Sus scrofa: one gene and its partner. The protein of the gene in region 1 interacts with the protein of each later gene in a pairwise test. Links are inferred from orthologs where the notes say so. Each region holds a gene or a part of one and is shown on either strand. Other genes may lie near its edges.

Region 1 (6,478 bases):
CGGATCCTTAACTCACTGAGCAAGGCCGGGGATCAAACCCGCAACCTCAGGGTTCCTAGTTGGATTCGTTAACCACTGAGGCACAACGGGAACTCCTCTTTTTTTCTGTTTAAAAGGCTGCACATGTGGCATATGGGAGTTCCTGGGCTAGGGGTCCAATTGGAGCTGCAGCTGCTGGCCTACGCAACAGCCACAGCAACGCCAGATCTAAGCCCCATCTGTGACCTATGCCACAGCTTGCTGCTGGATCGATCCTTAATCCACTGATAGAGGCCAGGGATCGAACCCCCATCTTCACAGACACTATGTCGGGTTCCTGCTGAGCCACAATAGGAACTCTTATTTTCCATAATTCTTAAAGAAATAGCCTAACTCTGTGTTTGACCATTACTTTTGTCTTTCATATAACAGATCATGATGTAAGTGTTTGAAGTGAATCACAGTACCATAAAGGCCAGTCTTTATTATTCACCAATCAGTCAATAACAGATCTATGAGTATACATTACAGACAAGCAACATTTTCATGAAGCTGAAAAATAATTTTAGGTCTTTTGTAAATAAGGAGTTATTTATGTCTATGTTGCTTTGACTTTGCATTTCTCCCTTAACAGAAAACTTACTTTATGAGTTATGAAAATGATTTGATCTTTAAGCAGCTTCCAGTTCTAAATGACTTTATTATCATGTCAGGGGGCCCAAAAGCGTACTGGACCATTGCCCAGTATTGTCAAGCTGACACCCCAGCTTACTTACCCAAGATCTGCTCTGATGTTACCGCGTGTGAATTGCCTTTATAATGTGTGTGATTCTGTGAGCGTGATTTTTTTGTCTCTTTTTAAAAGGCAAGAAAAAACCAGTCTGAGGCTTATCTATGACGGCTGGGAAACAAAAGCATCTATTGGCAAAGGATTCTAAGGGACCAGGGAAAGATTAAGAGCCTGTTCTTCACTGACCCACTGAATCTGGCATCACTGCTGATGAAAGGAGAGACAAAGAAATCCCAGGTCCAAGACTCTTTGACTCTGGGGGTGTTCTCCCAGCAAAACTTACCCAGCTAAATGCCTAATCCTGGGCATGGAACGTTACCTTCCCAAAGGGGATGGTAAATTCATGATCACTCCCTCCACACGAACTTTAGATGTCACACGCTCCCTGAGAACAGACGTGTGAGAGGTCCAGGAGATAATGGAGTTTTACCAGTGATGATTTAAAGGCCAGGTGAAACAAGTGAAAGCTAAAAGTTTTTCCCAGAATCCAAGAAATAACTTGAAAGAGGCAAGTCAGTCATCTTTGTTTTCTTCACTTTTCCTAGGGAGGCCAGAATCTACTAGAATTTTTTTTCCCTACATCTTTAAAATTTTAGTTCCTTGTTCATGGTGTATAATAAAGAAAACCATGCTCTCTATGAAGCAGCTAAATTATAAAGAAGCACAAAAGCAACCAAACAATGTGTTGAAAGGATTTTATGATTTACTATAAAACTTTTTTCTCTGGTTTTTAAACCCTTCCCAACATAAAATATTGATCAGCTGTTGTAGGAAGTATCTTTTGTTTAAAATACTGAGCCAATGTACTGATGAAGAAGTTACTATGTAAACGACTTGTCATTCATGAAGAGAGCTAAAGCCTGTAATAATAAAAGTAAATCTAAACACACATTCTTCCCAAGTTGAGAATTACTAGACTTGGTTCTCAGTCTTGGTCTGGGAAAGTTCCCAGGGGGTTTTGAGTAAGATAAGACTAAACACACATAGAGTTGCCTTGTGGCTCAGCGGATTGAGGGTCCCGCGTTGTCACTACTGCAGCTCCCGTCCCTATTGTGCAGGTTTGATCCCTCGCCTGGGGAACTTGCACATGCCACGGTGCCACAAAAACAAGAGGAAAAAAACCAAAAAAAACCCCTACTCTACCCTTCTAAGATTCATTCATACCTCCAAGCAACACAAGATCTTTTGGGGGGTGAGGTTTCTATTTGCAACGTTCGGTGGGAGAAGATGCGGAAGAAGTAGTCCTCAGTTGGAGCGGACAAGGGTAGGAGAGTGGGTAAGAGGGTGGCAAGAAAGGCCATCTCTGTAGGCAGATATGAGCAAAAGCAACCAGACCTTCTGCCCAGAGAGTAATAACATTCCGTGACGGCTAGCCCAACCAAACTGAAATTAGGAATGCCGTGGCTGGTAGAAAATAGCATAAAAGGAGGCACGTGATCTAACTTGATTTAGTTGAGTTGAACTTCTTTCTTTTACTGGCCTAAGGAGAACAGGCCCCAGCAGCAAATACGAGCTCCCCTGCTTCCCAACCCTTTCCATCGGGTGCATCGGATGCACGCAACGCACTGAGCCCTGCAGAACCTGCTGCCATCTAGCTGGACCTCCTTCCTGCAAGATGGCTCCTACACGGTGACCATTCCCAAGAATCAGCTCTAGGTGCCACCTCCACGTCCAGAGACTGCCCGTGGGCCTCAGTTCCCCGGACAGGATGTCGGACTCGGCCGCACGAGCGGTCCCAGATGTGTTGTCTCTTTGACCCCCTGGACCCCGACTCTTTTCATCTCCTCCCTCCAACCCTCGTTTCTTTTGCTTCTTTCCTTCTCGCTGGTCGAGCGGCGCGGAAGAAAAGGCAGCCGGCCTCACCCCGCCTCCGAAGCATCGACGCAGACCGGCCGGGCTGCAGGGTCGCGGCGACCGGCGTGCGGGGGCGGCTGTGCGCCTTCCCGGGTCCCGCAGCCTTCCAGCCCTCCCCGAAAGTCCAAGCCCGCGGCGGGGGTCCTGCGGGCGGAAGTGAGAGGCCAGGCGTGGGAGGAGGCTCCAGGCAGACGGCCCGGGACGACCCGAGCAGGGAGCGCGCATCGCCCGGGCCTTTTTTGGCGCGGAGGGAGGCCGGAGGGGCCGTCCACCGCGCCGAGCCGGGAGGGTGGCGAGGCCGAGCCGCCGCCTCCGGGACTGGGAGGAGGGGCCGTCTCGGGGGCGCCGCCGCGGCCGGGAGAGGCTGGGCGGGCGCGGGCGGCCCTGCGCCGCCGCCGCCGCCGCCTCCCAGCGCCAGCGTTCGGCAGCCTCCCCGGAACCCGGCGAGCGCGGAGAGCTGGCGGGAGCCCCCGCTGCCCCCGGGCCCCCAACCATGTCGGCCGAGGAGATGGTGCAGATCCGTCTGGAGGACCGCTGCTACCCGGTGAGCAAGAGGAAGCTCATCGAGCAGAGCGACTACTTCCGCGCCCTCTACCGCTCCGGCATGCGTGAGGCCCTGAGCCCGGAGGCCGGCGGCCCCGAGGTGCAGCAGCTACGCGGCCTCAGCGCCCCGGGCCTGCGCCTGGTGCTGGACTTCATCAACGCCGGCGGGGCCCGCGAAGGCTGGCTGTTGGGCCGACGGGGGGAGCCGGGCGGCGGTGGGGAGGAGGAGGAGGACATGGACGAGGTGAGCCTGCTGTCCGAGCTGGTGGAGGCGGCCTCCTTCTTGCAGGTCACGTCCCTGCTGCGGCTGCTGCTGTCCCAGGTGCGGCTCACCAACTGCCTAGAGCTGTACCGCCTGGCGCAGGTGTACGGGCTGCCCGACCTGCAAGAGGCCTGCCTGCGCTTCATGGCCGTCCACTTCCACGAGGTGCTCTGCAAGCCCCAGTTCCATCTCCTGGGGTCTTCTCCTCCGGCCCCCGGGGATGTCAGCCTGAAACAGAGGCTGAGAGAGGCCCGGATGACTGGGACTCCTGTGCTCGTGGCGCTGGGTGATTTCCTGGGGGGACCCCTAGCCCCTCACCCCTATCAAGGAGAGCCCCCGTCCATGCTCAGGTACGAGGAGATGACCGAGCGTTGGTTCCCGCTAGCCAACAACCTCCCTCCAGACCTGGTGAACGTCAGGGGCTATGGGTCCGCCATCCTGGACAACTACCTCTTTATAGTGGGCGGCTACAGGATCACCAGCCAAGAGATCTCCGCGGCCCACTCCTACAACCCCAGCACCAACGAGTGGCTCCAGGTGGCCTCCATGAACCAGAAGAGGTAAGCAAGCGCCCAGCCGTGCTGCTGCTTTCCCGCCTTCATCTGTTCACGAATTTGGTCCCCTAGTGTTTGCTGAGCAGTCACAGGAAGTTGTGCTGGGATGGGAATGACATCCTGGGGAGCGTTGGTGGCCTTTGGCAAAGTTACCCATGAACTTGGCAAGGAAGCCGAGGCCCCAGTGAAATCAACTATCTGAGTCATTTATTTGCAGATATTGCACCTTTAGACTGCCCCCCCCCCAACTTTGCGTCTATCTCAGTGGAAAAAAAAAGATGTGTGTGGTTTCCTAGAAGGATACCTTTAAAGAAAACTGTAATTTTGCTTTTATTTTTACCTTTTTATTTTTTAGGAACTAATGCTGATTATAATGACACATGGGGCAGTAACCTGTAACACTGATGTTGGCGAATCTTGTTAATGACCTTGAAGCTTTAAGCACTGGGGCACCAACCTGTGATCAGAAAATAACCGTTAGAATGTCAGCTGTATAGGAGATCATCTTTATTTTTTTATTCTCTCTTTTTGCAGCTCACTTTCTTTGCAGACAGTCTTCATCATGGACCCAAAACTTGAGCCTTACATTGGTCACCTGCAAAATTAGAACATTTCCATTTGTCCCAACCTTCTACCTTCCCATCCTGCACATCCCTCCCAACATGCACTGGGGTGACTTGAAGAAAGGAGAAGAAAAGGAGATGGGGGCAGGGGGAGACAGAGCCAGGAAAAGAATAGGAAAACAAGAGCAAAGAGCATTATAGGAAGAAGTGGTAGAAAGAAAGATGGTAGGGCCCAAGATGGCCTAGAGCCATTCCAAAGAGGGGAGAAGAATCAATGTAACCCAAGGGAGGACAGGAATACCCTTTCTTCTGGTCCACCTGTATCCATCTCAAGTACCACCAAGATGCCTGCCCTGAAGTGTGGAATGAGGATTTGGGAACTCACAGCCATGCAAAGAAAGTCTTAACAGGAATGGGAAAGTCATCACACATATTTACTTGACTTAAAGTCCTCCCCCAAGGCTGAGCAGTTGGGGGGGGGGGGAAGGGAATGAGTCCTGGCCTTTTTTCGACTGTAATATAAAATTCAATTTGGAAGGTTTTTTTTTTTCCCCTCATAATAAAAAATACAGAGTTATTCACAAAAAATAGAAAAACGTCAGAGAATGAAGAAGCAGAAAGACTGTCACTCCTACTTTCTCCTTCCTGGAGGTGATAACCATCTAGAGGTTGGCGAATTTTCTTCTAGGATCTCTTTGTTGCATTGCATTATTTGCACCAAGGGGGATGTTACTGTATTTAAATTTTGATATCAGAATTTTTTTTTTTTTTTTTTTTTTGACTATGCTTGCAGCATGTGGAACTTCCTGGGCCAGGGATTGAGCCTGAAACACAACAGCGACCCCAGTCACAGCAGTGATAATGCAGAATCCTTAACCCACTGAGCCACAAGGGTACTCCATCAGAGCGTTATTTTATTTCAGTTTTTGTCTTTTTTTTTTTTAGGGCTGCACCTGTGGCATATGAAGGTTTCCAGGCTAGGGGGTCTAATCAGAGCTGCTGCTGCTGGCCTACACCACAGCCACAGCAACAATGCCAGATATGAGCCACGTCTGCTCCGTACACCACAGCTCATGGCAATGCTGGATCCTTAACCCACTGAGTGAGGCCAGGGATCGAACCTGCAGCATCATAGTCCCCAGTCGGATTCCTTTCCGCTGTGCCGTTACAGGAACTCCCAGAGCATTATATTTAAACAGATTTTAAGAGTGTTAGTTGAATCAACAAATGACCGTGTAGTGGTGATGGGCAATGCTCAGATTAGGGGTAGAAGGCCTGGCACGTTGTCTGTCGCCTCCTGCTGTATGGTGCTCAGCACACTAGCCCTAGCTCCACACCTCTGACATGAAACATTGTAGGATTCTCGTCTTTCTCCACAAATTCTTGGTAGTCCTTTTTTCCCCTCCTAGGAATGCTGTTTTTGTCCTCTTTGGGGGGAAAAAAATTCAAATAATGCATAAATACATGCTTAGAAAAATTGCAAATGGCATGAAAAGCCATGGAGTAAAAAAAAAAGGTGCATCTATAGACATTTATAAACATACATTATAAATGTATTTTTATAATTATAAACGTATATAAATATGATGATAGTGGCCGAGGTGGAAAAATGCATATATGTGTGCATGTACATGTGGGATGTATATACATCTTATACATATTTTTATTCTAAAATTGATTAGCTTTGCTGATTTTTATGGCCCTTGGTATTTCCACTCAGTTTTTGCTGTATCAGCTAATGTAGATCCACTTCAGGCTTGTCAATGGCTGTGTAGTATTCCAGCCTATGGACACACTGTGCTGTAATTAGCCCTTCCCTAATTCATGAGTATTTAGGTCACTTCCATTTACCATTTTTGAACAGCTTGGTATATGTGTGCCTATCTTAGTAAGCATATGTGTGTTAGTTCTATAGGGCAAATGCCTGGAATCT
Region 2 (6,318 bases), on another chromosome or scaffold:
ACTCTGTGAGGTATAGCCAGTGATGTACCCTCATTGTTTACAACTGTACCTCAACACAGTAGGTGTTCAATACACATTAGTCAAACTCCTCAGACTCCTAGGAGCTCTTCTTCCCTGTATGACCTGGAAAGAGCCACCTGGAGACTCCTTTTTTACCAGGCCCAAAAAATAGGTTGTGAGAGAAATTATGTGAATTTGCCTAGCAGGGATCTTGTTGTAATTAGCATTTCACCTTTTTATTAGTAAAAATTTCGAGTACATAGAAGAGATGGGGAAAAAACCGCATGTATTCTGTGCACCTGAATATTCTCCCATCTAGATTTAACATTTTGTCTCCTTTATCTTCATTTGTGTATCTGTATACGTACTTTTTTTTTTCTGAACCAAAGGAGAGTAAATTGGAGACATTCTACCCCTAATATAGTAGTTCAGCAGGCATCTCTTTTTTTTTTTTTTTTTTTTTTTGTCTTTTTGCCATTTCTTGGGCTGCTCCCACGGCATATGGAGGTTCCCAGGCTAGGGGTCGAATCGGAGCTGTAGCCACCGGCCTACGCCAGAGCCCCAGCAACGCGGGATCTAAGCCGCGTCTGCAACCTACACCACAGCTCACGGCAACGCCGGATCGTTAACCCACTGAGCAAGGGCAGGGACCAAACCCGCAACTTCCTGGTTCCTAGTCGGATTCGTTAACCACTGCGCCACGATGGGAACTCCAGGCATCTCTTTAGATTAAGGATGCTCACTTATTAATCCATTTCACATCTAAGAGAATTTAAAATTCCGCGATATCATCTAGTATCCAGTCTATGTTCAAATTTCCTCAATTTTCTCAAGAATATCTCTCATAGGAGTTTCTGCCCACCCCAGCCCCCAATCATGATTGAATGCAGATTCAGATGCCTATTTGGTTTTAATAAAGAAATTATATAGTCTCTGGTATTCTGAAATATCTACCTCCCCCAATCCCTTCTTGTGTTTTCTTGAAGTTGAATTTCTGATAGGATAACCCTGTGGTGCTGTAGGCAGCCTACATTGTGTATTTGCCTGATTGCCTTCGTGTTTAATTTTTCACTCTCTGTTCCCTAGAAATTGGAGTTGGATCTAGACACTTGAGATTGAGCATCCATTGATAATCGCTGTCTGAATCAACCAGTCTAGTTAGCATTTTTGATGGCTTACTTTGGTCAAGGGCTTTATTCACAAACAGTTCTTCCCATAGGGCCTGAAGAGTTAGCAAACGAGCTACTGAAGAAGGTAAGACCCATTGTCAGTTTAGCCAACAAGTATAAAACTGCTGTCTACCTTCATCCCATCCGGCGTGTCTCCCCTTGAACTGTGCTATTACCACAACAGCCATTACTACGAAAGGACACGTTGTCACACACCACTTCCAACGTTTTGCACCAATTGTTTTTTAATCCTTAAAACAACCCTCTGGAGTTCCCGTCGTGGCGCAGTGGTTAACGAATCCGACTAGGAACCATGAGGTTGCGGGTTCGATCCCTGCCCTTGCTCAGTGGGTTAACGATCCAGCGTTGCCGTGAGCTGTGGTGTAGGTTGCAGACGCGGCTCGGATCCTGCGTTGCTGTGGCTCTGGCGTAGGCCAGTGGCTACAGCTCCGATTCGACCCCTAGCCTGGGAACCTCCATATGCCCAAGAAATAGCAACAACAACAACAAAAGACAAAAAAAAAAAAAAAAAAAAAAAAAACAACCCTCTGAGCCAGATGCTATTTGTCTGATTTTAGAGGTGGGGAAACGGAGATGCTCCTAAGAAACTAAAACATTTGTGCAAAGTCACACAGCTACTTAGGGAAGGGAGCCCAAGAAGGGGCTCCAGGGACATCCCACCCCTCCCTTCCTAGTTCCTGTAACCACAATTGAGTACACCTGCCCAGCATCTGTAGCGTCTGATATAGTGCTTTTACAGAGACGACCTTATTTTAATTTTACTAACTCTCAAGAGCTAGGCAAGAAGATCTCCCATTTAACAGACTCAGAGATGTCAAGCGTCTTTCCAAGTTCTCGCATCGAGTGAGAATTTGAACCCCGGGTCTATCTGGCTTAGAGTGTAGACCCCTGTTGGGGCTGGGTGAGTAAGAAGTTCAACTGCTGGAATTGGCGGGGCCGGGGGTAGGTGTGAGGGGGCAGCACAAGGAGAGACACAAACGCCACCCTCTACCGTCCCACAGGGCAAAGAGCCACCCCACCTTCTCTCCCCGGTTCCTTCACGAAGCTGCCCGGACATGCGCCCTGAAGACCACTTCCCCTCCTTTCGAACCTGCCCCCTATAGGCCCCGCCCATCGCCATCTAGGACCAATCCCTGAGTGGAGGGCGGGGCCTCCAGGGGAGTGGGCGGTAGCTAAGAGGAGTGGAGAGCCTGAAGTCGTGCGCTGGAGTCAGAACTCCGTCTCTCAAGCCAGGCTCCGGTTGCTGGAGGAGAGTGAGCGAGCAATGCTGCCGCCACCGCTTCCTGATTGGCTGCGGGTGGCTCCCTCTTCGTCCTGATTGGCAGTTTGTGAGCTGGGTATGTAAATGAAGGGAAGAAACCAGGGGAAAGAAGGGGTACTGGCCGCGGGGTCCTTTGGCAGGTTCGATCCCTGCGTCCGGCAGGTGCGAACCAGGGCTGTCTGGAATCGAGACGCACGGGCCTCTAAGGGCCGTCCGCCCCGGCCGGGCCGGGTGAATCACGCCGCAGCCCGGGAAGGGGGCGGAGGCGCCGGCTCTCTGGCTCCGGCTGTGTGACTCACCCGCCCCCGCCGCCGCCGCTTCGGGAGGAGTCGCCTCCACTGCCTTCCGGAAGCGAGCGGAGGCCGAGAGAGCAGAACAGCTCTCTGGGTATTCCGGCTCGCACGGTCCCGGGCGGCTGGCAGGAACGTTCACGTCCCGCGCGGCAGCATAAAGGGTCCGGGGGGGTCTGAGGAGCCGGAGTCCCCGGAAGAAAGCCGTCCTGGGGCCGCTAGGGGGCGCCGGAACACGGGGGAGGAGTCGGGGGTGGGGGCTGAATTCCTGCGGTTCCGGACTCCCGGGTCGGCTGGGAAGGAAGAGAGGACCCAGTTTTGAGTAGTGTGAGCGGTCCGTCTTAAAGTCCTGCTAGGCAAGGATCCCAGTACCCACTGTACCCTGCAGGCTGCCCGATTTAAAAAATCAGGTTGGGCCAGGGCACCACCCCGGGCAAAGTGTGGGTTCTCAAACTTCTCTCGGTGACCCCTGTGCCTATCAGGATTGTCCGGCAAGCTCTGTCCATTCTGCCTCTCAAATAAATCCTGAATCGACCAACTTCCTTCCATGGCCACTACCGCCTTTTACTCCCAAGTCACCATCATCGCCCACCCCAAGCCTCCAATGGATCGCAGTGCCACACTCTTCCAGCCTCCCTCCCTGTCCCTGCTCCCCAAAGCAGCCTAGGGGATCTTCTGGAAACCTAATCAGTCCACAACGCGACTCTCTTCCCTGCTCAGAACTCTTCAGTGACTGCCCACCACACTCACAATAAACTCCAAGCTCCTTGCCTCTGCCTCCTCTCCAACTCGCTCTTCTCCCTCCCTGCCCCCATGTCGCCCTGTGTACTGACCTCAGAGTTTTTTTTCAGTTCAAGCTGTTCCAGCCTCTAAGACTTTCTTTGCCTTTGCGGTTGTCCTTTATTCCCGGAATGCCTTCCCCCAGGTTCTTCCATGGCTACTTCCTTCTCATACTTAAGGGCTCATTTCAAATGTCACCTCAACATGCCACAGGCCCAGCCAACAAACAAACAAAGATTGTCAAAGTCACCTCGGAGGGGGAGCCTTCCCTGACTATGCTCAGATCCTTTTGGTATCTTCCTAGCACCTTCTAACACTTCCTGTATTTGTTTATGTATTGGTTGTCTGATACTATTAGTAGGCACCCCAATAAATATTAGATTAAAGCACGTGAAACAGCTGCCTCGCAGGTTAAAAGAAAGTTTAGACTATTGGACATTTTACATGTTTCACTGAAGAAATAAATAATAGTTATATTAATAGTATTATTTATGGGAGTTATTGTATACGTATTCACTGTTGTAAGTTCTTTTCGTATCTCACTTATTCCTTAAAACACCTCTAGGGGAGTTTCTGTCATGGCTCAGGGGTAACAAACCCAACTCTTATCCATGAGGATGAGGGTTCCCTCCTGGGCCTCGCTCAGTGGGTAAGGATCCAGGGTTGCTGTGACCTGTGGTGTAGGTCACAAATGAGGCTCGGATCCCGCATTGCTGTGGATGTGGCCAGCAGCTACAGCTCCAATTCAATACCTACCCTGGGAACTCCCATATAATGCTGGTGTGGCCCTAAAAAGACCAAAACCAAACAAACAAAACCTCTTGGAAATAGATACAAATATCATTCATATTCTAAAGTTTCCCTAAGAAAGGCTAAGGTCAGAGAGGTTAAGTGATTTGCCCAAGATCACACAGCAGTTGTCAGAACTTCACGTTGGCTTTCCATAACTGACTGACTGTCCTTCCTTGCAGATGATGCTGAGCAAGGGCCTGAAGCGAAAGCGGGAGGAGGAGGAGGAGGAGGAGAAGGAAGCCCTGGCAGTTGACGCCTGGTGGCTGGATTCTGGCCACCCAGCAGTGGCACAGGCACCCCAGTCGGTGGCCTCCAGTTCCCTCTTCGACCTTTCGGTGCTCAAGCTCCATCACAGCCTGCGGCAGAGTGAGCCGGACCTGCGGCACCTGGTGCTGGTTGTGAACACGCTACGGCGAATCCAGGCGTCCATGGCACCCGCGGCTGCTCTGCCACCTGTGCCCACCCCGCCTACATCCCCTGGTGTGGTGGACAACCTGCTGACCAGCTCGGACGCCGCCCTCTCGGCCTCCATGGCCAGCCTCCTGGAGGACCTCAGCCATATTGAGGGCCTGAGTCAGGCCCCCCAGCCCCTGGTAGATGAGGGGCCACCAGGCCGCCCCACTGGGGGAGCCCCACCCAGCCTGGGTGCCTTGGACCTACTGGGCCCGGCCACTGGCTGTCTGCTGGACGATGGGCTTGAGGGCCTGTTTGAGGACATTGACACCTCCATGTATGACAGTGAACTTTGGGCACCAGCCTCTGAGGGCCACAAATCCAGCCCGGAGGGTGGGCCAGGCAAGGAGGAAGCTCCAGAGCTGGACGAGGCCGAGCTGGACTACCTCATGGACGTGCTGGTAGGCACACAGGCACTGGAGCGGCCACCAGGGCCGGGGCGCTGACCCCCAGGGATGGAGTGGTGAGCTGGTGTCGAAACTGAGCCTGGTGGCTGGACCAACTCTCCTTAAAGACACAGCCGGCTTCCCTAGAGAGGGACTTTGGAGAGAAGGAATCCTGTCCTGGGCAAGTTTACCTCCACCCTCCATCCCCTTCACTTATGGCCGATGGGGGGAGTCTGGGATGGGCTCCTGTGATGAAATGCCAGGACCTGGTGGCTGGAATGTGATTGGACCAGGCCCAGTGTTGAATTCCCAGAGGTCAAAGCCTAGTATCCCTTTTCACTGATGTGGGAAGAGACCCCAACCAGTTCTGTGAAATTAAAGCCGGTCCTGGGAAGTCTCAAATCTGTGTACTGCTTTGTTTCTGGGCTAAGGCGAGGGTAAGATAATAACCTATAACATGGATCAAGCGTGGACTGCACACCCAACCCCAGCACCGTTCTAAGCCCTTGATGTGTGTTAACTCATTTAATCCTCATAACCAGAGGGGCATTATTATTATCCCCATTACACAGCTGGGAAAATTGAGGCTCCAAGAGGTCCTCTCTTGAAGAGCTAGGTTTCAAACTGTACTGCTTTTTGGTCTGAGAAGTAGACCAGTTGGGTCTGGTAACTGGTCCCCTTAGAAGACTCCTGGAATATACTCAGCCAGGTCTCCCTGATGTGCCTGTGTGTGTACGTAACAGAGGTGGCGGCAGCAGGGGAGAAGCCCCAGGCCACTGATTAAAAATGAAATCTGGTCCTTGTCTGGAATCTACTTCTGTGTCTTGGGGCCTGGGGGTGGGAGCAGAAGGGACCTTTCAGAATGAGCCAGAAATTCAAGCACAAACGCTGGAGGCTGGATGGAGTCTCTGAGGGCCAGCTCTCCAGGAAAATGGTGAAAAAACCAAGAAGACCAGCGACTTTTGAACCAAATCCACTCCCAGGTCTCCAGTCTCTCTTTGGGCAGGGGATAAGGGAGCCTGGAAGCTGATTCCGCAATAAAGCCACCGGAGGTTGGTGCTGACTTTATTTCGGAACGGCAGGCGAACCTGCTTTCCTTCCAGAAGAAGCGCAGGCCCCGGCGAGCGGGGGCCACCTGCCTGACAGCCTGTGCGGCAGGGCTGGCC

The links. The genes of interacting proteins can lie anywhere in the genome.
Region 2: the proteins of KLHL42 (region 1) and SERTAD1 interact in binary tests that used the Homo sapiens proteins (3 or more experiments, as listed by UniProt). The two-hybrid records come from large-scale screens. The link is inferred for Sus scrofa from reciprocal best matches to the Homo sapiens genes KLHL42 and SERTAD1.

Annotation. Positions count from the first base shown.
Region 1 is NC_010447.5:45,951,409-45,957,886, reverse strand, and holds the start of KLHL42 (kelch-like protein 42), read left to right. Parts: upstream 1-2,999; 5' UTR 3,000-3,116; coding exon 3,117-3,988; intron 3,989-6,478. UniProt on the Homo sapiens protein: Substrate-specific adapter of a BCR (BTB-CUL3-RBX1) E3 ubiquitin-protein ligase complex required for mitotic progression and cytokinesis. The BCR(KLHL42) E3 ubiquitin ligase complex mediates the ubiquitination and subsequent degradation of KATNA1.
Region 2 is NC_010448.4:48,698,484-48,704,801, reverse strand, and holds SERTAD1 (SERTA domain-containing protein 1), read left to right. Parts: upstream 1-2,353; 5' UTR 2,354-2,527; intron 2,528-4,492; coding exon 4,493-5,212; 3' UTR 5,213-5,921; downstream 5,922-6,318. UniProt on the Homo sapiens protein: Acts at E2F-responsive promoters as coregulator to integrate signals provided by PHD- and/or bromodomain-containing transcription factors. Stimulates E2F1/TFDP1 transcriptional activity.